Linked DNA regions of Nothobranchius furzeri. The protein of the gene in region 5 binds, or shares a complex with, the protein of the main gene of each other region. Links are inferred from orthologs where the notes say so. Each region holds a gene or a part of one and is shown on either strand. Other genes may lie near its edges.

Region 1 (4,040 bases), on a different chromosome or scaffold from region 5:
TACCAGATGTACAGTGAGCACATGACTCGTGAGATCTGCCCTGCGCTGAAGTCGTACAGTTTGAGCTGAAGCTGTGTTACGAGTGAAAAAGTCGCACAGTGTCCGCCCAGCTTATTATAATGTTCACTGTAATGCATCTTGATGTTCTTAACAAATAAATTAAATCAAAAATATTGGTCAATAATGCCAAATATGTAAATTTGTGTTTCAGTCATTTTTATACTGGCTTAAAAATACTTCATTAATTCTACTAAGCAGGGGTGTAGAACGCGTTTAAGAGGGCCAGCCCAGTAATGGTCTTGGACCAAAATAAAGGGGGCAGAAAGTCAAATAAAGGGGGAAAAAGAAGATGTTTTTCCAGACGCCAAGAAAAATTAAATGCCAAATCCACCCTGCAAAGTGTGTCACTGAGAGTTTAAAACAGAAATTATTCTTGTGCAAATATTGGTGTATTCACCTTTAATACTAGTTATTACACTGCAGCAGTCGCTGGACTGGTGCAGTTCAAAGTGGAGTGCATCAAATAAAACAATATTAACATAAAGGTGAGACGTGTCATAGTCCCCCCCCCCCCCCGCCAACACCACCTCCACCACAGCTGGAAAAATTCCTAGGGGAAACACTGTCCCTGATGATGTTAGCAGCTAACGAGGGGCAATTAGCTTAAAGAGGCGACTGTCCCCCTTTGTTCTCTGCCACGACGTGCTTCCTTTTAAGGCGTTCGTTCATCAGCATTATCTTCTTGTGAAAGAAGTCCTACTTTGCAGACTTTGCACTGTACATGCTTATTTTTGTAAAATGCTTTCAAACTTTGTGCTACATTGCAGGTCGCCATGTCTTGTTTTTCCGGTGATGCAATGGCTCACCCGAATGGCCGCTACTGCGCACGTGCCTCGAACAGAAAGACCGCAAGCAGCAGTGGTACTGCTGAAGCAGGTAAGATTAAAACAATGCGTAGAATAAACAACGTAGACTATTAAGTTTATTGATGACTATTTTGTTTGTTGATGTCATCATGACAAATCGACCAACCCTGGCAGGACAAGCTAACACTTTTAACCCTCCCACTGTCTTAATGGGTGACCCCACGAGGAAAGTTGACCGTTGAGCAGAATTGATTGTTTATCCCTTGAAGTCCACGTGGCAGTGGTGAGGTGGTGGTCACTAGTCGCCCATGCCACATGGACCCAAGGGATAAACCATCAACCCTGCTCAATGGTCAACTTTCCTCATGGGGTCACACCCATTAGGACAGTGGGAGGGTTAAGGTAAGGCAGACTGAAGCTTTCCCTGGAGCAAGCAGGAGGGAAGCCCCTAGCGCCGACCACCCCTAGCCCTCTGCTACTTGTCCATCAAAAGGACACGCCCCCAATCATTCATAATTTCAAGCTTTTATTACATCTAAACAGAAGAGTTACATAAATTCCCCCCCCCCCCCCATAAGCTGCACACACGTTGACTGTTAAAAAAAAGGTTGCACTACATGAAAAAAATAAATTAAAAAAGCTGCACAACACAACAAAGTGATGATGAACTGCATTGCTAATGCATTTCTTAATCAATTTTTTTCCCCAATTCGTTGTTGCAACAGTAGCTCAGGAGGTTGAGCTAGTTGATTAAATGAATGATCAAAACCTTTAACTGATACTCCAATTACATGAGTTAAACCTATCAGATAGTAGTTTCAACAGACATCTGCATATTAAAAGTTAAATTGAAACATCAGTCTGCACAAACACACAAAACATTACCTTTGTCATTTAAAGAAAAACTTTGCTCAGCTGGCTTGTGTCCTTTGGTGGAAATATTTTGACTTTCTTGATCGCGGGACTAAACTATTATTTTAGTTTTATTGTAACTATAGTACATCTGGAAAACTTTTGTTCTTTAACTCATGATTAAGTAGCACTAGTCTGATCTGAAAATCAGAATTTAGAATAAAGGTGAGGCTTGAAAGTTTAACTAGAATATTTTTAAAGTACAAAATCCATCAGTGACAAATTATTTCCAGTATATTATTAGATCAAAAGCACAAACTTCACGCATTAAAACGGAATTTGAGGCTTTATTCTTATTTAGTTTTTTCCGTCTGGAAAACTGATGGTTTCTTATCAGTGTAAACTTTTCATTCAAAAGCAGACTTTTGATTTTAAGACATCTAATAAATAGAAAATCCCAAACCTAATCGAATTGGGACTTTCAAACGTAACAAACTCACTTTTTGTGAATTTTCCTACACTACTCGAGCCCTCTCGGAGTGCTTTTATTCAAACTACAGAGCAAATTAGCAACGTTAGCATGATGAGCTAACTAGCTGCTTACTAAAACTTTAACGTTTGCGGGCGGGATGGGTTAGCAAATTCAAACACACCGATGGTAACTCAAGGGAAGTGGCTAAAATAAGTTTTGGGATAGACTGACTCTATTCAACCAGCCTGAGAGTTAGTCACAGCTTTGGTCCTCATGGAGAAACAGAAACAACGTTGGCCAGTAGCAACAAAGGAGCGATGAGGGGCTTTGTTCTAGCGAACAAGCTAACGCGTCAGCAGCAAACATGGAACGAGAACTCACCGGATACCCAGGCCCGGGCATCGGAGAGCGGTACATGTGGTTCTGCGCGGCTGACGAAGGCCCCATTCTTCCAGAGGGAGTACCGGGGCCCATACCTGGTCCTGCACCGGTTGCTGGCGGTCCAGGGCCCATTGCTCCACCGCCACCACCCGTCGGAGCAGATTGAAACCCCCCTCTGGCCGCCATCTCCTCTCTGAGTGTCGCCGCCGGTGGAAGCACGAAGCTAACGCGAGAACAAGCTCAATGGGGAGAGTTGGAGATGAAACAGCGCTATCTGCTGCTCACATCTGGTAACAAATAAATTAGCTTTTCTATTGAGATGCTGATGATAGTCTTTCAACCATCCATGAAGCCTGATAAATAAATAAATTAGAAGCGTTGTAGCCCAAAGTGGTGCAGAAAACAACTACATGCTTAATTTTGCATTTTTAAGCATACTAAAAACTTATTTTTATTGTTTTTGTATTTTAATTGGTGTGTTCAATTGATCCAAATGTTGTTTCTGGAGCTCTGAAAAAAGTGTCCACTATACAAATTTAGCATCATTTCAATTGCTTCCTGCAAGACCAAAAATTTAATAAAAACCCATTCTAACTTCGCTCACATATCTGTAACATCTATGACATCTACAAAGTCTGCAGAATATTTTTAAACCAAAACAACATATTCTGGAACTTTTACTGAAAATACCGTAAGAAAAGAGATTTTACTTTAAAGTAGAAGAAAAGCACAGATAAGAATGGTATTTTGAGTGATTTTGTCCCATTTGTCTCATAAAACTGAAATAAGCTGCATTAATTTACAAATTAATCACTTTGACATGCAACACATGAGCATCAGCAGATGCGTAACTTTTATTCAACGAGAAAATACATGCTGAAATGTGAAAAATATCAAAACATTACAGACTGCAGTAATTAGTTCTTTTTTAATTTTTATCAGAAGTTCATGAACTGCAAGTCGCACCATCTCCCTCTGTTTAGGAACATCACACAAATTATACACCACATCTCCTTTCATCACAGCAGGGGAACATAAATTAGTGAGCCAACTGCTTCCGTGTCTGAGAGGTGATCTGAATCTGCGGTGCCTCCATGAGGTTTTTCAGTTGACTCATGATCCTCTTTGAATGCTTGTTGATTGTATGCAGATGCAGAGATCCTAAGATGAGCAAAGTTTTAAATGTTTTGAGCTACGGTCCTGCAAAAATTCACAACAGTTTATGTATTTTTTCCCCCAACTTTTGATGATGTTACACTTTCTCTGTTCAGTATGGAGAATCGGCAGCACAAAACATGGGGCACCATTTGTTTGCATAATCTCTTTGTGTTGGATCAGAAACAGATTGCTGGCTGCCCGGGGGGGGGGGGGGGGGGGGGCATGTGTTTTTGGACATCTAAAAGCATCTACACTGTAATTATAATTTTCATTTTGGGCTTTATACCTTGGTGCACGAACAGGCTTATCCT
Region 2 (4,127 bases), on a different chromosome or scaffold from region 5:
CAGGCGCATCAGTGAGTTTGCGGCCGCTGCGCAGGGGGAGGGGGGAGATGGCTGAAGCAGAAACTACTGTTGTTAAAAGAAATGTGTTTAACTTTGAAAATGTGGGCGCGATATTAATTGTCAAAAACTCCAGCGAACCATTAGTTCATTTTGCTCAAATAGAAATAGAGGCCTGCCTCTAATACTGGCCCTCCTTCCAATAAAGGCCTGGAGCTTGATGAGCTTGAGTCAAATACAGGCCCAGGCCTGTATTAGAGGATTTACGGTATATCTTTAGGAGCATGCATTCCCACAAATGTCACATCAAAATCATCGGCTCGTGGGAATAGTGGTATGTCATGATTTTAGAGTGATCTCCCATCACCAAAACCATCAGTATCATGGTTTTGGGTTTTTCACCCCAACGTCACCCAAATATGATGACTTTGGGGTAATGCACCAATTTTGGTTTGCTCACCCCAACATCAATCAAATATCAAGATTTTCAGTTGTTCACCCCAACGTTTACTTATTTTTATTTTTTGGTCAGTTTGAGTGAATGCAATTCAAAATTAGCATGATTATGAAATAAGTATGCGCACAATAATTTTTTTTTATTTAGAATGGAAGGGCATGCAATTGCATGAACATTTTGTGCCAGGTCCCTTTTCTAAGCAATGTGGTTTATCCTGGTGAAATAATAATAATAATAATAATAATAATAATAATAATAATTATTATTATTATTATTATTATTATTATTATTATTATTATTATTATTATTATTATTATTATTGTTATTATTATTATTATTATTAGTAGTAGTAGTAGTAGTAGTAGAAGAAGTAGTAGTGGTAGTAGTAGAAGTAGTAGTGGTAGTAGTAGTAGAAGTAGTAATAGTAGTAGTAGTAGTAGTAGTAGTAGTAGTAGTAGTAGTAGTAGTAGTAGTAGTAGTAGAAGTGGTGATATCTTCATCATTATTATTATTCATACTGGCTATAAACGTAGTAATTAGCATTGGCATTAAGAGGCCCATTAAAAAAAAACTTTTTGTGTCTGGGAGAATTTCGAGGACTTGACCGGTTATCATCTTTTTAAAGTATTTTGTATGTTGTACGATTTATTTATCAGTTTAAATACAACGCTTAACCAATAGAAAACATATCAGTGAAATGCCTCTAAAACTAATTTGTTCATTTAGATGTCATAAATTATTTTAGGAACTGTTCGTAAAAACAGTTTTTATCGATACGTTTTTTATATTTTTCTTTAGCAGGTTTGAGAATAACAATTACGTGAATGGGCAAAACCACTTCTAACCTGTAGGGGGCAGCAGGTCCACGGAGTGCTCATTTCTGTCACAAATGGCAACAACCTTAGCTTCCGGGTAGGAGTTTTCGAAGAACACAAGCTAGCCAGCTAGCCTTTTCATATTTTAGCTCAGGGAATCACAATAAAATTTGCTGCGAATCGGTAAGATATCAACCTGAACCTTTCTGTTTTTTTATTTTCCATGCATGCACGCTTATATGGAACTCCACGAGTTTTAAGAAATGCAGCAGGTCAGGGAGAACAAGATGCTAACTGTCCATCGCTAGTATGCTTTGTTTCATACATTCTAGATACGGGAACCTGCTAATGAGTTCCAGTTCTCGTTTCGGCTTTAGTATGGATGGAAGTGTCAATTGTAACAGCTTTTCTCAAGTGAATTGACCTGATCCAAAGTCTGTTTTTTGCTTTTTATTTCATTTCACTCTATTATGTAGCTAGCAGGCTAGCCTGTTAATCCATTCAACGATGTCAGCGAACTCCAAACGAAGACGAGCCACCTCTCCCTGCAGCAGTGTGAGCGGGGGAGACCACGACGATACCTCCTCTTCCACTCCTGGAAGTGGAAGAAAAAGAAGAAAGGTATCTAATGTCCCTCCAGTTGATACGGTAAATGTTCACCTTTATTTGCGAGGTTCTTTTTGAATGTTAACAATCTAAATGTGTGTGGGATTTGCAACTATTACCTTAAAAAAGCTTTAATCGTGATCTTTTACCACTTACTTTTTTAGATTGCTGTTTGCCACGAACTGTTTAATGCTGTCAAAGATTTCAAAGACGATCAAGGGAGGCAACTTTGTGAAGTTTTCCTTCGGGTTCCGAAGAGGAGGTATTGTAATATTAGGACCTAATAATAAACGGTACTGTTATATATAAACTTGTCATTCATGAAGAGAGTTGCTACTCAGCATGTTTATTTAAACATAGTCATGCCATTTGTTACCTTGTTGAAAGTAAAAAACTGAGCCAAATACTAACAATTTATACAATAATAATAACAGAAAATTGTACACATTGTAGTATTGTAATCCGGTTATTGCAGTGGGATGGGTTCGATGTAAATAAGGACCGTTACAGTAGCAGAATAAACATATATAAAATAATGTTGCAGTGCAGGTGGGTGGGGGTGGCAGCAGATAGGAAGGAACATGGACAGATGGCTTTTACAGCTCTGGGGAAGAAGCTTTCCTTCAACCTGGAGGTTGCAGTACTGATGTTCTTGTACTGTTTTCTGGATGGCAGTGGTACAAACAGTATATGACCTGGGTGAGGTGGATCAGCAGCAATGCAACTGGCCTTCCTTGCCAGTCTGACGGCATGTATTGAGTCCAGATTTGGCAGCAGGCTCCCCATGATCCGCTGGTCCAGGCCAAGTCCTTCATGTTCTGGACAGTGTAGCTCCCATACCACATAATTATGTTAAGAGAGAGGATTATCTCAATCATGGCTGTGTAGAAGTACCAGAGCAGCTGGGGTGCTGCTCTCTTGAGTTTCACAAGAAATAAGATGTCTGGGCTGAGCACACAGCTCTGAGGAGCACCGGTATTCAGAACCAGCTCGGATGGAGTATGATTTTTAAGTCTCACCACCTGGGGATGGTTTGTGAGAAGTCCCTGGTCCAAAAGTAAAACGAGGTTGAGAAGCCCCAGTTTATTATCAGCTTGAATGATTGTGTTAAATGCTGAGCTGAAGTCCAAGAATGGCATCCTAAGTGATGAGGAGAAACACTGTTAATAGCATTAAAATAAGTTAAACAGATCCTAAACAATGTAAAACTGAGTTTAGAATCAGTGTTTGTTTTATATTACGACCCATGTTGATAAATGTGGGTGTCTCTATTTTTCAGGAACCAGCCTGATTATTATGATGTGGTCTCCCAGCCGATTGACATGACAAAAATCCAGTCCAAGCTGAAGTCAGAAGAATACACTGATGTGCAGCAGCTTACTGCAGATTTTCAGCTCATGTTTAATAATGCTCGATCCTTCTACAAGGTAAAGAGAAAAGAAACATTTGCTTGTATTAAATTGACCCTTCTGACTACACAAAGGTTCAGTGTTCCCAGTTAAATCAATAACTTATCGTTTTTCTGATTCTTACCAGACTTTAAAACTTTAAACAGAACAGCAGGAACCCAGAGCTGAACGAAGCCTGATTTATTTTAAATAAAATGTACATGACAATCTTTGTGATTTTATTATACTCAGGTTGGGTAAAACGAAGGGTATAGAACCAGGTCACTTCATCTTGATCCTGGAGGGCTGGTGTCCAGCATGTTTTAGTTGTTTCCCTGCTCCAACCTGCTTGATTCTGTAGTTGAATCACACGTTAAGCAGCTCATCAGGCTCTGCAGAAGCCTGTTAATCACATGCTGATTAAAATCAGGTGTGTTGAAGCAGGGACACCAGGGTTAAGGACCGCTGATGCCTGAAGGCGTTAGATGTGCACAGATGATTGTTTGACGTTGAGCGAGAAAATGTTGATTAGTAGTTTGTTGATGGTCAGCGAGTTGAGTGTTTGCAGCTTATAAATGCATTGATCCGTCATTGGTTGTGTTTAGAAAACTGTCAATAACTGCTGCTCATGTTTGTGTTAAACAATGTTGATGGTATGAAGGTTTATGATGGTGTTTAGTTTTGATGTCCAGATTCATTCGAATGTTCACGTCTCTTCACGTTTGATGATTCAGAGTGACGGCGAGGAGTATCATGCTGCACGAAAGCTGTGGGAAGTTTATCTGCAAACAAGGAACGAGTTTGTGCAGCCCGGAGAGGGAGACGAGGAAGACGAAGACGGTGATGATGGGATGGATAATCCAG
Region 3 (3,304 bases), on a different chromosome or scaffold from region 5:
TGACCTACTGGGGACCTTTTTGGCCTTTTTGTTGAATTTCTCAAGATCAATAGGATCAACGAAATTGAAATGTATTGATAAATAAATAGGCACACGCTGCCATCGACCCTCCCTCTGTCTAACACACACATTCACATACACACACACACACACACAGATCTACAGTGTATCATTTAAAGAAGAGCGAGAGGTAGATTCTCCATCAGAACAAGGGCAGGCTGGGAGTTTCGGCTCAGCACACAGAACCCTGAGGGTCTGTCCGGGCCTCTGGTCCCTCTAGCTCCCCCTAGTGTTTGATTTGGAGGAAAGGGAGGACCAGATTTTAAGGGGTTATCTTTTTTTGGTATACAAGAAAAGGCTACAGTGTCATTTACACAACAAAAAAAAAAAACAAACAAAAAAACAGCATTGTTACTGTAAAGAATGAGAAACAATATTTTCTGATGATTTCTGTCTCCTTGTTTGGTTTTCTGGCTACAGCCTCCCGTTTGCCCAACAGAGCAGAAACAGTGTTTATTACTAGATGAACCTCGCCGCTGCGCCCTGAGAGGAAGTCTGCATGTGTGTTTGTGATGTCTGGGTCACTTTTGCTGATAAACCCTGAGTGTGAGTGTGTGTGTGTGACGGAGGGTGACGTTTATGGCAGCTTTAATGGGCAAATGCTGAGTCGTCAAAAGGGGGGCAGAAATTCAGAGATGTGTGCTTTTGTGCGTCTGTGTGGGTCTTAGTTATCAGTGATTCGTCCACTTGGCTGTGCTGCGGGACCCACTGGAGCTGGAGGCAGCACCTCGGGCTGTGCAGGAGGAGGACCGGGGTCTGCAGGGACAGAGAGGCCAAATTTAGATGAAGGAAGACCAAAAGTGGTGGTTTGTGTTCAAAGGTTCAGAACTTTGGTGTGTGTGTGTGTGTGTGGGGGGGCTCTGTACTCACACATGCCGTTGGGGGCTCCAGAGTGACGCGGGGGCATCATGGGAGGCATCCCACCTGGAGGTGGGCCGGCGGAGGGGGGTCCAGGCATCATACGTCCAGGCATCTGCTGACCTGGTTCTACTGGTCCTGCAGTTTTGATTAAGAGACAAAGATCATGAAGAGACGGCTCAAATTAAGTAAAACATTTGCTTCATGTTTTAAATAAGCATTTATCAGTAGCTTTGCTTTAAGACAAATATTTACAAAGTTTTAGTCAAGATTTATTTGAACAAACAAAATTTTATTTAAAAAAAAACATGCTAATATCTCACAGCTACTTTTTTCTCCACAGACTTTATTCTGCTTAGTCTCACCCGTCTGTCCTGGGTGGTGGGGGGCCATAGGGTGGTGGCCCATTGGCGGATAGCCTGGGTGCATTGCAGCGCCTGGTGGGGGACCGCCGTGGTGCGGATGTGGACCTCCATGATGGGGAGGAGGTCCGCTGTGGTGGGGTGGGGGTCCTCCATGGTGTGAGGGAGGTCCTCCATGGTGGGGTGGGGGTACGCCGTGGTGCATACCTGGTGGAGGAGGGCCCGGGTGGGGTCCTGATCCAGGGACCTGTCCTTGTCCTTGGGCCTGAGCGGCAGCGGCAGCAGCTTGCTGCTCCATCTGCTGTCTGGCCTTCATCTCAGCGTACTTCAGCTGCTCCATGTGGAACGCCTGTCTCTCTGTGAGGAGCTGCTGCCTCTGAAGTTCCAACTGCACACACACACACACATTAATGGATGAAGAGGAGTTAAAGACCAGGAAGCAGAAACATTACAAAGACCACAACCAAATAACCCAGAGCTCAGTCAAAGCAGCATTCTTCAAGAACCAGGGGTTTAAAAAATCTGTGTGTGTGTTTGCGTGTGTGTGTGTGTGTATAATAAATTCATTCTGCTCCATTTTCACCACGCTGATGAAGCGGACACCTAAAGGCAACTGAAAGCTCAGACTTGTCCCGTGTTTCTTTGTGGATCCTTTCAGCCTGAGCGTTTACAGCAGCAGCCATGTTGGTTTCCGTCTTGCTCCGTGACAGATTCCTAAAACGTTTCTTTTCGAGCAGCTTTTGCAGCTGTGAATGGGCTGAATTAGGCTTCAGTCCAGATGCTGCCACAAGAAAACACAGTTTTACACTCTCACTAGCATCTCCAGGGACACACACACCAGCTAAATCAGGCTTTTCCCTGGCAGAGCAGCAGTTTAAACAGCATCACTAAGTAGCTGCTCAGCTGTAGATAAAACCCTTTTGGCTTCCTCATAAAGAATTCATGTTTCTTATAAAGACTTGGAGCTCATGGAAAGCAGCTCCACCACGAGGGAACATCTGCTACTGACTAAATATTTACCGGCCACTTGATCAATGAAGCAGTCGCAGGAAAGGGAAAGTTAGACGGCGGGTCACTTTTTGGCATTTCCACAGACAGAACCTAAAGGAACTAAGGTTTGGTTTTCCTAGGATCAGGATATTCTAACACTAACTAACGCTTTCCGATAATAACAGTAACGTCCCACAGATGTGGTCAAGCAGCTAAACAAAAAGGCAGAGCTGCTTCGATTCTAGTTAATCTCTCATTAGCTTGACTCATGTGGCTGATGATAATCGGATGATGTCTGGCAAAGGTGAAGCAGAAGAAGTGTTTGAGCTGCACTGCATTCATTCATGAACGTTTTAAAACTACAAACCTCTGATGATGCTACTAAAACAAACTCCGACTCAACTTACAGCTTCCTTCTCGCGGTCCATGATGGTCTCCAGCTCCTCGAAGTGCCTCAGCTTGATCTCCAGCTTCTTCATCTGGGTCTCCACCAGCAGAGCAACCAGCGACTTGATCTTTCTTTCCTCGACTGCTGCCAGGTGCTGAACAGAAGATTAACGTGAACATAAGCATCTCAGTAGCCCCTAATTTAACTCTGAACTGTTTTCAGTAGAAACTTCTCTGGAAAACAAACACGGATGAATGAAAAGTGACATCTCCTCACCTTGGCCTTGGTGGCGGCGGACGCAAGAGCAGCAGCCGCTGCCGTAGCGATGTTTCCCTCTCCGATGTCATGTTCCAGCTTTTTCCTCCTGTCCTCTCCCTCCTCCATAGCCTCACTTTCCTCCTTCTCCTTCTCCTGATCAGGAGAAGTCTTCATTGGTTCCTCTTTTTCCTTGTCTGAATAGGGAAGGAAACATTTTTAACCTGCTGTCAGAAGACAATCAAATATTTTTTTTCCTATTTTAACTGAAGTTTTAAAAGATGAATACAGAAAAACAAATCCCAGCACAAGCTGGGATTGTTTTGTAAAGATCACCATTACCTGCAGAAGCCGTTTTAGACTCCTCTCCTTCGCTCTCCTCTTCGTGCTC
Region 4 (3,500 bases), on a different chromosome or scaffold from region 5:
TACCTGAGCTGGGGTAGGTACTCGGCTGGTAGAGCCGCTGAGCGGGCTTGTTTTTAACTCACGCTGATTGGTTGTATTCGCCAAATAACTGGCCTTTTCAAAAATGGGAAGAGTTGTTGGTGAAGATGAGTGGAAGTGAAAGAAAGCAAACAGCATTAATGCTGCTTTGAAATTGCAGTTTCTGAAGGTTCAACGCATATAATGCAGTGGAAATCCCCCACAACGCCATTATCCACACTGCTTTGTCAAAAACAGCTTCTTCTGGTCATTGAACGGCACTTTTTACTTCACACAGCTGCTCTCCCCGTCCCCTAAACTCCTAAAATGGAAACAGGACTCATGTAGTCCTGGTCTTAGCTTTAGAGGGCTGGATATGAACTCTGATGGATTAGTTATCAGTGTTTTTTAACATCACCTGTCTTAAGTGCTAATGCGGTTTAATAAAATTGTGTTCAGATCTTCAGCTGTCCACGCATGAGGTTCAGTGAGATCCCCATGAAGCTGGCGGGCCTGCTGCAGCATCCTGACCCTATTATTATCAACCACATCATCAGGTAGGGTCTCATCTTACAGCTTCAGACAATCTCTGCTTTCAGACACACAGTGTCACCACACTTGGTGAATAAGGTTCATAGCTGCTCCTACAGTTAATAAACACAGATGTACGTAGAACCTTAGAAACACTTTCTATTTGGTTCTGAGCTGAGATAAGGTATAAACCCGTCCTGTAGTCACCACCAACTCCTTTGTTCCCTGAGCAGCGTGGATCCCACAGACCAGAAGAAAACAGCCTGCTATGATATTGACGTGGAGGTGGACGACCCTCTGAAAGCTCAGATGAACAGTTTTCTGTCCTCCACCACCAACCAACAGGAAATCGCTACTCTTGAGATGAAGGTCGGGTCTAATCTGGATTCATACTAAAATGAAACGAGCCTGTAGAAACCTGAAACGTCTTCCTTTGTTGTTTATGTTCAGATTCATGAAACAATTGAGTACATCAACCAGCTCAAGACTGAGAGAGACTTCATGCTGAGCTTCAGCAATAATCCACAAGAGTTCATCAAAGACTGGCTGAAGTCTCAGAGCAGAGATCTGAAGGTAAAGAAATGTCTGCTGCAACTACCATGTTATCGTGACTCTTTTGTCTTATTTTAGTCCCTCATTTCAGGACAAACTAAATAAAATGAAATGAAGTTGAGTTAAATAGCAGAGACAGGGTAAAATGAAGTTCCTATGTTTTTTTTTATCTGATTAAATCAAGTGTTTAGATCTTGACTCGTTTAGATTTCCTTTACGGCTTAGACGGCAAAAATATTTTAGTTTTCTGAACATTCTCCTTAACCTGGAAGTCAGGTTTTATTGGGTTTGTTTTTTTACTCCTTCGCCATAAGAGTTCAAATCTGTCCCACTGGAATCTGCAGTGTTTACTCATCATTAAATGTTGCTTAAGGTGATATTCATTATGGGGATTACAGCATTCTTACGTTTGTTTACATTATATAATGTGACACAATAGCACAGAACTCATTCTAACATATTTAGCCAGTAAACGGATGCACCTTGTTGCCGGCATGTGCTCAGAGAGCTAATCAGGAAGCATTCTGCTGCAGGTGGTGGAGGGTTGATCTCCTAAAGCGAGCCGAAACACGTCTAAAGATAAATGTTCCAGCCAGCAGTTAGAAATGATCAGATCAGAAGGATCTACATGTCTGGGTTCCTGTCAACACAGATTTCACCCCACCTTGTTTTTTTTAAATTTGTTTAAGAAGTCAAAGCTGTCCTCCCTCACCTGACATGGTTCATGGTTCGTTCAGAAGCCACAGCTTTGTTCTGTGTTCCTGTAGCTTTACAAACCTCCTGAGCCTTAAGCAACATCTCAGCAAGATGCAGTTGTAGATAAGAAAATGAAAGGCATGTTTGGGGCATCTTGTTGGTGTTGTTGTGTTCACTGTTGCATTTCTGTTGAATCAGCTGATGACAGACGTGAGCGGAAACCCAGAGGAGGAGAGGAGGACCGAGTTCTACGAGGCGCCCTGGGTCCCAGAAGCAGTGGGCAGATACGTTTACTCCAAAGTAAGTGAAGACAGATCCCAGAGCTCAGAACAGCACATTTTAGTCATCTGTATCTGAACCAGAGGTACTCCTTCTCCGTTTCAGGTGCAGCAGAGAAGGCAGGAGCTGGAGCAAGTTTTGGGGATCCGACTGACCTAAAGGCCAGATTCCAGAGGAGTTTGCCTGCGTTTGCTTTTGTTTAACTGGAATAGAGACAGCCATGATCGCAGCTTAAGCCATACTTATTTACTAATGGGACCAAAGTGATGATTTATGTGTCCTTTTGTAACGTGTTTGCCTTGGATGGTTTTTCATTTGGAGCCTTTTCAAATCATTTTTACTTTTTTGTCTTTTTTATTCTTTTTTTTTTTTACTCGCGGTACAAAATGCTGAAAACTGTTTGAACACTGGTCCTGTAAAGGATTCTGCTTTCCCACGCTGATGTTTTGTGTGATTTTCTAAAAGTTGTAACATTTAAATGTTGACAGTGCCTGATGTCTAAAAAATATCCTTAATCAGTTTATCCCATATATATGTAGTTGTACTACATGCCTATTGAAATGTCCTTGAAGAGTGTTTGAATCTATATTTTATGTAAGTTTTAAGATAAACCCTTAAAACACTTTCAGGTCATATTTTTAATACATAAAAACATCAAATCAGGAAATACGTCATGCCTGTGGTGATTTATGAGAAGCTGTTTTTATACAGCCTTCTTTGTTCCTCTGATCTTTAGCAGCTCTTGTTTATATGTTGAAGGTTTACATGTTTTTTTTATTTACTTTTTTGTTTGAGGACCACAAAAATGAATTTTCACAGCCTTTGTAGAGGTTTGCTATTGATTATAAACAGGAATGCAGCTGTGGTGTCAGATAAAAAAATGGTGTGTGTATGGGGAAAAAGCTTTTTTACAAGCAGTCTTATGAAACATTCCGTGTATTTGTGCCAAAATGTGTTTTGTGAAGTTGATTAATTGAATTTGAGAAGTGTGTAGTACAAGTACTTTTGTACAGCTTCCGTGTTTTGCATGTTTTTGATTCAAAAGCTTTTTTAAAAATCTTTTTTTACATTTGAGGTGTTTTTCACAATAAATATACTTGCAAATGTTGGTTATTTTCTATATCTGAAACAGAAACCTACATTACATATACGTTATATTGCACTGAGCTATTGAGGTGTGTGCTTGGATCAGGGAGCTGTGCATGTTGAGGCTGGTCGCTGCGCTCAGATGCTTCACGAGGGCAGCAGTTCCAACAGGAATGTCTGGTTTTACTCAAACAACGCTCCTCAAATAAAGCCCGGGACTGATACAACCAACTGTCTTTAGGAAGCCGTGTCTCAGCTTGTCTGGTGACTCTTGTTTAATGCTTCAGACGTGGTATTGGCTTGTGTGGCAGAAAATCAAAAATAGTATTTTTAATTGTTCTATAATGTGTACTTCCTAA
Region 5 (3,999 bases):
CCAAACAGGCGCGAGCTGAACTCCGGCGTACCGCAGTTTGACAGCAAAAATAGCGCTGTTTTTAAAACCACAAGCAAGGACATGAACTTGTTCCGCTGTCTAGTGTCAATTCCTCAAAATGGGGTCTGCTAACGTACGTCTCCGCCATTTTGTGACAGGTTTTTCATTGAGCAAAGGGGTACGTGTAATGGTTGAATGTAACCCCATCAAGAAGATATCCGCTCGGCAGTTACAGCAGAAAGGGACCAGGGGGAATTTCAGATAAAAGTCCTGTAGACGCGGCCACAGCTAGGGACACCAGCTGCTTCCCACATCCGCTTACCCATGCAGCAACAGATTGTACGAATATAAATTAAAAAATAATCATATTTACGTATAACACAAAATAGTATGGTCAGTTTATGTAATTACAAAAGCAGTACAATTAATGTGTAACTTACAAGCATGTTATTACATAATCAGTGTGTGTAGATGTTTTAAGCTTTGCCACTTAACAAAAATATTAAAGTTCAAACAAGTTATACAGGATAAAATATGTTAGGCACATAATATATGACTTCATACAACACAATAATTAATATGCAACTCATCTTTTGCAGTCAAAAGTTCGCAAAGTAAGTTTCTTTCATTCGTTTTTAAGTATATATTAAAATAAAAAAAATCTATAAAAAATATTGAGCACCATTATGACACGTGCATCACTATCCTACTGATACTGCTGAAATAATAATTTGACACCGATGTTTGACACGCACTTTTATATTTAAAACAATTAGGTAGCTACTATTATGCGCTTAATTGGAATATTACGAAGCTGGGTTAATTTGTTTTTCCCCTCCCCCCACGGGACATTTCCAAGAACCCTTTGACCCGTTTTCTAGGCAGCGGGCATGAATTGTCAGACGATCCCTAAAACAGAAAACTGTCTATTGTTCCAGCAGTCGCTCTACCTTGGAGGGTGCAGTACCGCCGGTGGACACGGAGGGCGCTGCACGCATGGCAGGCCGGGCTCCGCGGCCTTCACATCTTTTTGTCTGAGAACTGGATCCCTCTGCCGCTCTACAGTGTGTGCGATAGCCTCGGAGCTGCGTCCGTACCACACTGTCAAACCACTCCAAACGAACACAGCCGCGACCAAAAGCATTAATTCAACACCTTCAGCCATGGCGTTTCTAATCCACCGGTAAATCGGTCGTATTTGTGACCGCTCGTTGGAACTTAGTCCGTGCTTGTATCGGGTTTGCTTTCTGTGTGCATCAGTCTTTATTAGCGAGCTGCCGCTCTCTTTGCTATCAGCTATTTCTTTAACTTTTTAAACACTCAGCTTGGCGAATGACTGCGCGCCGGCGGAGTATGGGATCCTTGGTGTCTTAGGAAGCAACTGAAGTGGGATTTTACCGTTTTTGCATGCAAAAACAATGGCAAATTCGACGGGGAAAAATCTACTAGATCAGCGAAGGAAAGGACAGGCTTTCCTGGACGAGCTGCGGCAATTTCACCAAAGCAGAGGGTGAGATTGGGGTGCCTTTATTTCCAAGAAATACAACTTTAACTACAAATTGCAATGAAGGCGCGAGTTCCCAAAAGTGTAATTTAAACATGTGTGGCTTTATTTCATGTGTTATTTCAACAGATCGCCGTTCAAAAAGATTCCTATCGTGGGTGGGAAAGAGCTGGATCTGAATGCACTCTACATCAGAGTCGTCTCTTTAGGTGGATTTGCTAAGGTGAGTGGGAACCAAAAGTGTCATTTCTCCACTTTGCCGTCCGTGGACTTCTCACCGGACTACTCCACAACTCTGAGCGGTTAACCCGGGACAAGTCTCACCCTCCAGAAAGCCGTTCCAGTGGCTCGGCGTTGGCCTTGTGCTAGTTTACCATGTATCTCTATGCAATGTGGTGGCTTGTGTTGTTGTGTGGTATGAATTGAAGAGTCCAAAGCGCTCGGAGTCAGAGTGCAGTTGGAGCGACTCAAAATTAGCGGGCACGTTTACCATCGATTATCGGCACGGAGCCCGGCTTCGGGGAGCACCGCGTTGAACGCGGCGCGCTGCCCGGGCTTTCGCCAGCAGTTTTAACCCGGAGGGAAGCTTAATTTCTCGCCATAGCCATCTTTCTTCGGCTTCATGGCTGGCCACAGAATGTAGGCCTCACAGGCCCATGTAACGAACACAGTAAACGGGTACATACACTGACTCCACAACCCAACGGCTCGCCGCGAGCGCTTTCTGCCCCGGCAGTTTGTTGTAGTTTGCCTCGCGCGGTTTAAACGCTCAATTAGCAAGTAATCAAGTTAGCTTGTTAGCTGTGTAGCTAACTAGCCTAAACTGTAACAAAACCGTTCTAAATAGTTATTTTAAATGCTAATAACAAATACCCGCTATTACATAACAATATAGAGACTATTTTAAACATAACTTCTAAAGGTTATGCTGGCTTTATCTATTTTGGGTCATTTCCTGCAGTTTGAGAAAGTTATTGATAAGAGGTTGTGACACTGTCTCAATGGAGAACCTGTAGCAGAGGGAGCAGCTAGCTGCCTTCACTGTAACCGTTCTTTGTGTTGTTGTTACCGGTGTTTGCTAACCAGCAGACCCTTTTATCATCCTCTCCTCAGGTCTCTGATAAAAACCAGTGGGCTGAACTTGGAGAGGAGTTTAACTTTCCCAGGAGTTGTTCCAACGCAGCATTCGCTTTAAAACAGTACTACCTGCGGTAAGTTGCATGCAACTCTCTCCTCTCAGGTAGCATGTGGGAAGTGTTTACAAATGCTAAGATGCAGTCAGCTGGATGCAGCCTCGCTGCTTCCCTCTGCTTGGAAGCTGCACTTGTGGAATATTGCAGAGGAGGTTTGAGTACTACTTAATCCACCAGAGAAGCAAACACTCGGGCTGAGTTGTCTTTTTAAACAAAGCTTTTGAAAACATTGGTTTTAGGGCGTTTTGACACTTTTAGCCCGGGGGCTCTTGTTGATGCCATGTTGAATGGTTCTGGATGCTCTTACTTGTATCACATGCACACTTCGAAGTCAGTCAGCTGCATTGAGCAGAGTCTGTTTTACCCCCCCCCCCCCCTTTCCAACAGCTGGCATTTGTGGTTTGTAGTGTTTTTTCCATCACTGTAGTGTTCCCATCACTAGCACCTGCCCTGCAGAGGTTGCACCTGTGCAGCAGAGAAATGCTTGTAGACATTTAGAGACAAGTGGTGATAGAAGAGGCCAGCATTGTTTCTTTATATATTGTCAGTGAGCGGTGACAGGATGAAGCTAATTTTATGACTAACTGTAAGGCAGCTGATGAGACTTGGAGCTCATCGGAAGTTCAGACAGCTCTGATGGATCTATAGAGCAGAGTTTCGTAAACTTTTCAGCTTCTGACACAAAATTACAGCAGCTGAGACTCGTCACCACAGCCACCAACGGTTAAAAAAAAGTGTAAACTCTACAGTGACATAAGGACAACACAAACTGTCCACTATTTTACTATCTCTGGCCAATTTATGACAACTTTTTATAGAACAGTTGTGGCAAAATATCCATTATAGTAATTTTGTGGGTTGTGGAGATCAAAAAGACCCACATTGAGGTCCTGGCCCTAACTTTAGAAACCACTGGGTCAGAAGGGGAGGACTGGTTTGAAGTATTTCAAAAAACAAACTGGCTACACTGCTGATGGGAATCCAGAAATATTAGGTATTAAGTTTATAATCTATAGCTCCTGCAACCTGCAGCTAGTCTGAAATCTGCTTGTATTTTTAACCAGAAATGACAAGACCCTGAGTGAAGTTCATATTTGAACGGATCTTAATTTTACATGAAAGTCATTGTTTTGTCAATAAAATTACACAAACACCACAAATAGGTAATACTGTTCTTGTATCAGTAGGTAGCTTTATTTATAGCACTTTTCAGGCCCTGTTGGGTGTTTATGTTGCAGCATTTATCAGATATCAATCATTGAGTCTGCCCTGGTTACTTCTTAACATCATTTCAGTAAAGTA
Region 6 (2,864 bases), on a different chromosome or scaffold from region 5:
CTGGGTCATTTGTTTATGAGACCACTAACTAACCAAGGGCTGGATGTTTTGCTTCAATAACCTCAAGCTGTTGCTCCTTCTCTCAGAGGAGTTTTCTCGTATGAAGGAGGAGGTCCCCGCGGCGCTTGTGGAGGCTCACGTGCGGCGGGTGGAAGAAGCGGCGCGAGTCAGCGGCCGACAAGATCCTCTGTATGGGCTGGAGGGTAGTGGCATCGCAGGCACCGGCCTGGAGGAGGGAGAAAGACCCGGTAGGATGGACAGATGGACACAACTAGGGAAAGAGCGCTTCAACGATACAGGAAGAATTTACATTTCTGACTTGTCTTCTCTTCAGATGAAAGCAGCGATGAAAGTAAGAGTGACAGCCAATCAAGTGAGGAGAAGAGAGATGCTAAGGTAGGATGCTTGTTCAAAACAAACTAAATGAAAGCTGTGTCTCTTATTTATTAGTTGTTAACTGTTTTTTTTATTTATTAAGGTGAGTAAAGATACAGCAGTAGAGGAAGAAGAGAAACAGGTGGAAAATGGAAAGAAGGAAGAAGAAAGGGGAAGAGAAGCCGAAGGAGAGAGGGAGGCGGACAAAGCCGAGTCTGAGATGGGTATGAGAGGACCTGGCCATAGACAGACGTGTCAGGAAAAATATAATAAAACCATGTTTTCTTCTCTCAGGTGATGGAGAAAAGGAGAAGGATGCAAAAGAGGGAACAGAGGAGGGGCAGAGAGAGGGAGAGATAGAAGGAGAAAGGAAGGCGAAGGTTGAGCGTGATGTGGGAGAGGGAAACCTGGCAACTGCTGCCGCCTCTGCTTTAGCTGCTGCTGCTGTCAAAGCCAAGGTGAAGTTCATTTTACCGCTGCTCTGTCAGTCACCGTTTGTTTGTTGGGTTTCTTTAATCCAATTCTCCTTCTCTGTGTAAACAGCATCTGGCTGCAGTGGAGGAGAGAAAGATCAAATCTCTGGTGGCTCTGCTGGTGGAGACACAAATGAAGAAGCTTGAGATTAAACTGCGACACTTTGAAGAACTGGAAACCATCATGGACAGAGAGAGGGAGGCTGTAAGTGATGGAATTTGGGAATTATTGGACATAAATGACCTGTTTTATTCCCAGAACAACGGATGTGCAGTAGCACTAATTCATCTGAGACGTGTTTGTTTTGCTTCCAGCTTGAGTACCAGCGGCAGCAGCTGCTGGCCGACCGGCAGTCCTTTCACATGGAGCAGCTGAAATACGCTGAGATGAGAGCTCGCCAGCAGCACTTCCAGCAGATTCAGCACCAGCAGCACAGTCAGACCGGCGGTCCTCATTCCAACCAGGCCTCCTCAGGCCCTCAGCTCCAAGCTCCGACTGCAGGGCAACAAGCTCCCAGCACACCAGCATCACAGGCGGCTCCTAGCCCTGCACCACCAAGCTCTTCTGCCCCGGCTCCTGAAGCCCAACCTCCTGCAGGGACTCATACCCCATCGCCCTGCCCCCCGAGCCAGGCCTCAGCTCCCGTCCCAGCTCCAGCCCCTCACTCCAGCTCCAGCACTACACCTGTACTCCATGGTGAGTTTAAACATACAGCAGGTATTTAATTAGCATTTATGTCAGAAAACAATGGTGAACAATTTGAACAGGAAAATAACACAGAACTAAATCAAGAACAACAAACACCGCTCAGCAAAAACAGGTTCTGCAGGCAAATTACTAAACAAAAGGGCATTCCCTCATAATCCACTCAATCATGTGCCACCCACCATTCCCATTTCTCCCAAGCTGCCACAAAAATTTTTAACCTGCAAGTTCTGCACGTGTTTAATTCCCTTTATTATCCTCCTCCCACTGTCTCTGGTCAGGAGCATTCACCCCAAACTGTTTTTGTGACAGGTTTTTCCCAGCAGAAAGCAGGATTTTAATCAAGTATCTGTTTGGTGTCCGGCAACACAGCAAAAACTAAACACTAGACACGGTCTGATTTCACACACAAACATTCTCCAGTCAGACAGGAAATCTTACAAGATCTTTGGAGTAAACAGACATGGCGATGATTGATTTTACCCTTTATTGCACGTGTCAATAATTTTCAGGCAGGAAAAGTAGTTTTAAATCTAGAAGTTCTCGTGTTACCGGGAGTCCCGATACATTTCGTTATACGTATTATAGCGCTAAGGATTAACTACTGCCTGGTACTTGAGAGTACTTCTTCAGACATTTTCTCCTGCTTTATCCACAGAGCCCAGCACCCCTCTCCAAGGAGAAACTCTCCACCCCTCAGCTCCTGCTCCTCCTCCACAGTGAGAATACTTTTTAAGAAAAAACCTGAAAATCCAAATGACTGACCATTCCAAATCCTGCCTGTATCATCTGAAATGAAGTATTCAGCTCCCGGACATAAAAAAAAAAAAAAAACAGTTTTCATGTTCAGTATTTTTTTTCCAACAGGAAATTTAATGTGTGACAGAAAAATAAGATACACGAGTCAACTCCCTCTCCTGACTGTTCAAACTAAGTCGACTCTTGAGGAAAATAGATTTTTCATCCCTCGTGGTTGACTGGACATCAACTGTCAAGTCAGAATCATAAACTCACCCCAGGAGATCTGGTCAGCATGGATTATCAACATGCCAGCACCCAAGAAAGACAAAAGAGTCATCTTGTGTTTTGAACGTTGTTGCTTTTGTTTTCCTGTTACACTCTTTCATGGCTCGTGAAGTCTCCAGCTTCACATCTTTGTGTTTTAGGTACGTATAAAAACATACATGTATGTATTAAAACATACATGCACGTATTAAAACATACACGTATGTTAGGAAGAAAGAAAAGCACTTTTGAAATGTTTCCCAAGGTCTCGCTAAAAAACTTGAAGCATCCATCAAATTGGATTT

Evidence for each region.
Region 1: arid2 (region 5) and smarcd1 share a complex: the UniProt entries of both Homo sapiens proteins name them as parts of the SWI/SNF-B (PBAF) chromatin remodeling complex. The link is inferred for Nothobranchius furzeri from reciprocal best matches to the Homo sapiens genes ARID2 and SMARCD1.
Region 2: arid2 (region 5) and pbrm1l share a complex: the UniProt entries of both Homo sapiens proteins name them as parts of the SWI/SNF-B (PBAF) chromatin remodeling complex. The link is inferred for Nothobranchius furzeri from reciprocal best matches to the Homo sapiens genes ARID2 and PBRM1.
Region 3: arid2 (region 5) and smarcc1a share a complex: the UniProt entries of both Homo sapiens proteins name them as parts of the SWI/SNF-B (PBAF) chromatin remodeling complex. The link is inferred for Nothobranchius furzeri from reciprocal best matches to the Homo sapiens genes ARID2 and SMARCC1.
Region 4: arid2 (region 5) and smarcd2 share a complex: the UniProt entries of both Homo sapiens proteins name them as parts of the SWI/SNF-B (PBAF) chromatin remodeling complex. The link is inferred for Nothobranchius furzeri from reciprocal best matches to the Homo sapiens genes ARID2 and SMARCD2.
Region 6: arid2 (region 5) and smarcc2 share a complex: the UniProt entries of both Homo sapiens proteins name them as parts of the SWI/SNF-B (PBAF) chromatin remodeling complex. The link is inferred for Nothobranchius furzeri from reciprocal best matches to the Homo sapiens genes ARID2 and SMARCC2.

The regions. Positions count from the first base shown.
Region 1 is NC_091743.1:58,867,579-58,871,618, forward strand, and holds the start of smarcd1 (SWI/SNF-related matrix-associated actin-dependent regulator of chromatin subfamily D member 1), read right to left. Parts: upstream 2,801-4,040; 5' UTR 2,758-2,800; coding exon 2,572-2,757; intron 1-2,571. UniProt on the Homo sapiens protein: Involved in transcriptional activation and repression of select genes by chromatin remodeling (alteration of DNA-nucleosome topology).
Region 2 is NC_091743.1:66,073,032-66,077,158, reverse strand, and holds the start of pbrm1l (polybromo 1, like), read left to right. Parts: upstream 1-1,327; 5' UTR 1,328-1,452; intron 1,453-1,745; 5' UTR 1,746-1,776; coding exon 1,777-1,917; intron 1,918-2,039; coding exon 2,040-2,137; intron 2,138-3,154; coding exon 3,155-3,302; intron 3,303-3,997; coding exon 3,998-4,127. UniProt on the Homo sapiens protein: Involved in transcriptional activation and repression of select genes by chromatin remodeling (alteration of DNA-nucleosome topology). Required for the stability of the SWI/SNF chromatin remodeling complex SWI/SNF-B (PBAF).
Region 3 is NC_091745.1:65,024,658-65,027,961, reverse strand, and holds the end of smarcc1a (SWI/SNF complex subunit SMARCC1), read right to left. Parts: coding exon 3,256-3,304; intron 3,111-3,255; coding exon 2,935-3,110; intron 2,813-2,934; coding exon 2,678-2,812; intron 1,669-2,677; coding exon 1,284-1,668; intron 1,057-1,283; coding exon 931-1,056; intron 817-930; coding exon 725-816; 3' UTR 501-724; downstream 1-500. UniProt on the Homo sapiens protein: Involved in transcriptional activation and repression of select genes by chromatin remodeling (alteration of DNA-nucleosome topology).
Region 4 is NC_091756.1:35,532,469-35,535,968, forward strand, and holds the end of smarcd2 (SWI/SNF-related matrix-associated actin-dependent regulator of chromatin subfamily D member 2), read left to right. Parts: intron 1-456; coding exon 457-554; intron 555-761; coding exon 762-897; intron 898-978; coding exon 979-1,101; intron 1,102-1,974; coding exon 1,975-2,076; intron 2,077-2,160; coding exon 2,161-2,214; 3' UTR 2,215-3,217; downstream 3,218-3,500. UniProt on the Homo sapiens protein: Involved in transcriptional activation and repression of select genes by chromatin remodeling (alteration of DNA-nucleosome topology).
Region 5 is NC_091741.1:59,776,360-59,780,358, reverse strand, and holds the start of arid2 (AT-rich interactive domain-containing protein 2), read left to right. Parts: upstream 1-1,199; 5' UTR 1,200-1,418; coding exon 1,419-1,510; intron 1,511-1,633; coding exon 1,634-1,727; intron 1,728-2,617; coding exon 2,618-2,715; intron 2,716-3,999. UniProt on the Homo sapiens protein: Involved in transcriptional activation and repression of select genes by chromatin remodeling (alteration of DNA-nucleosome topology). Required for the stability of the SWI/SNF chromatin remodeling complex SWI/SNF-B (PBAF).
Region 6 is NC_091743.1:50,353,316-50,356,179, forward strand, and holds the end of smarcc2 (SWI/SNF complex subunit SMARCC2), read left to right. Parts: intron 1-86; coding exon 87-248; intron 249-334; coding exon 335-396; intron 397-478; coding exon 479-599; intron 600-669; coding exon 670-833; intron 834-918; coding exon 919-1,053; intron 1,054-1,163; coding exon 1,164-1,545; intron 1,546-2,212; coding exon 2,213-2,277; 3' UTR 2,278-2,364; downstream 2,365-2,864. UniProt on the Homo sapiens protein: Involved in transcriptional activation and repression of select genes by chromatin remodeling (alteration of DNA-nucleosome topology).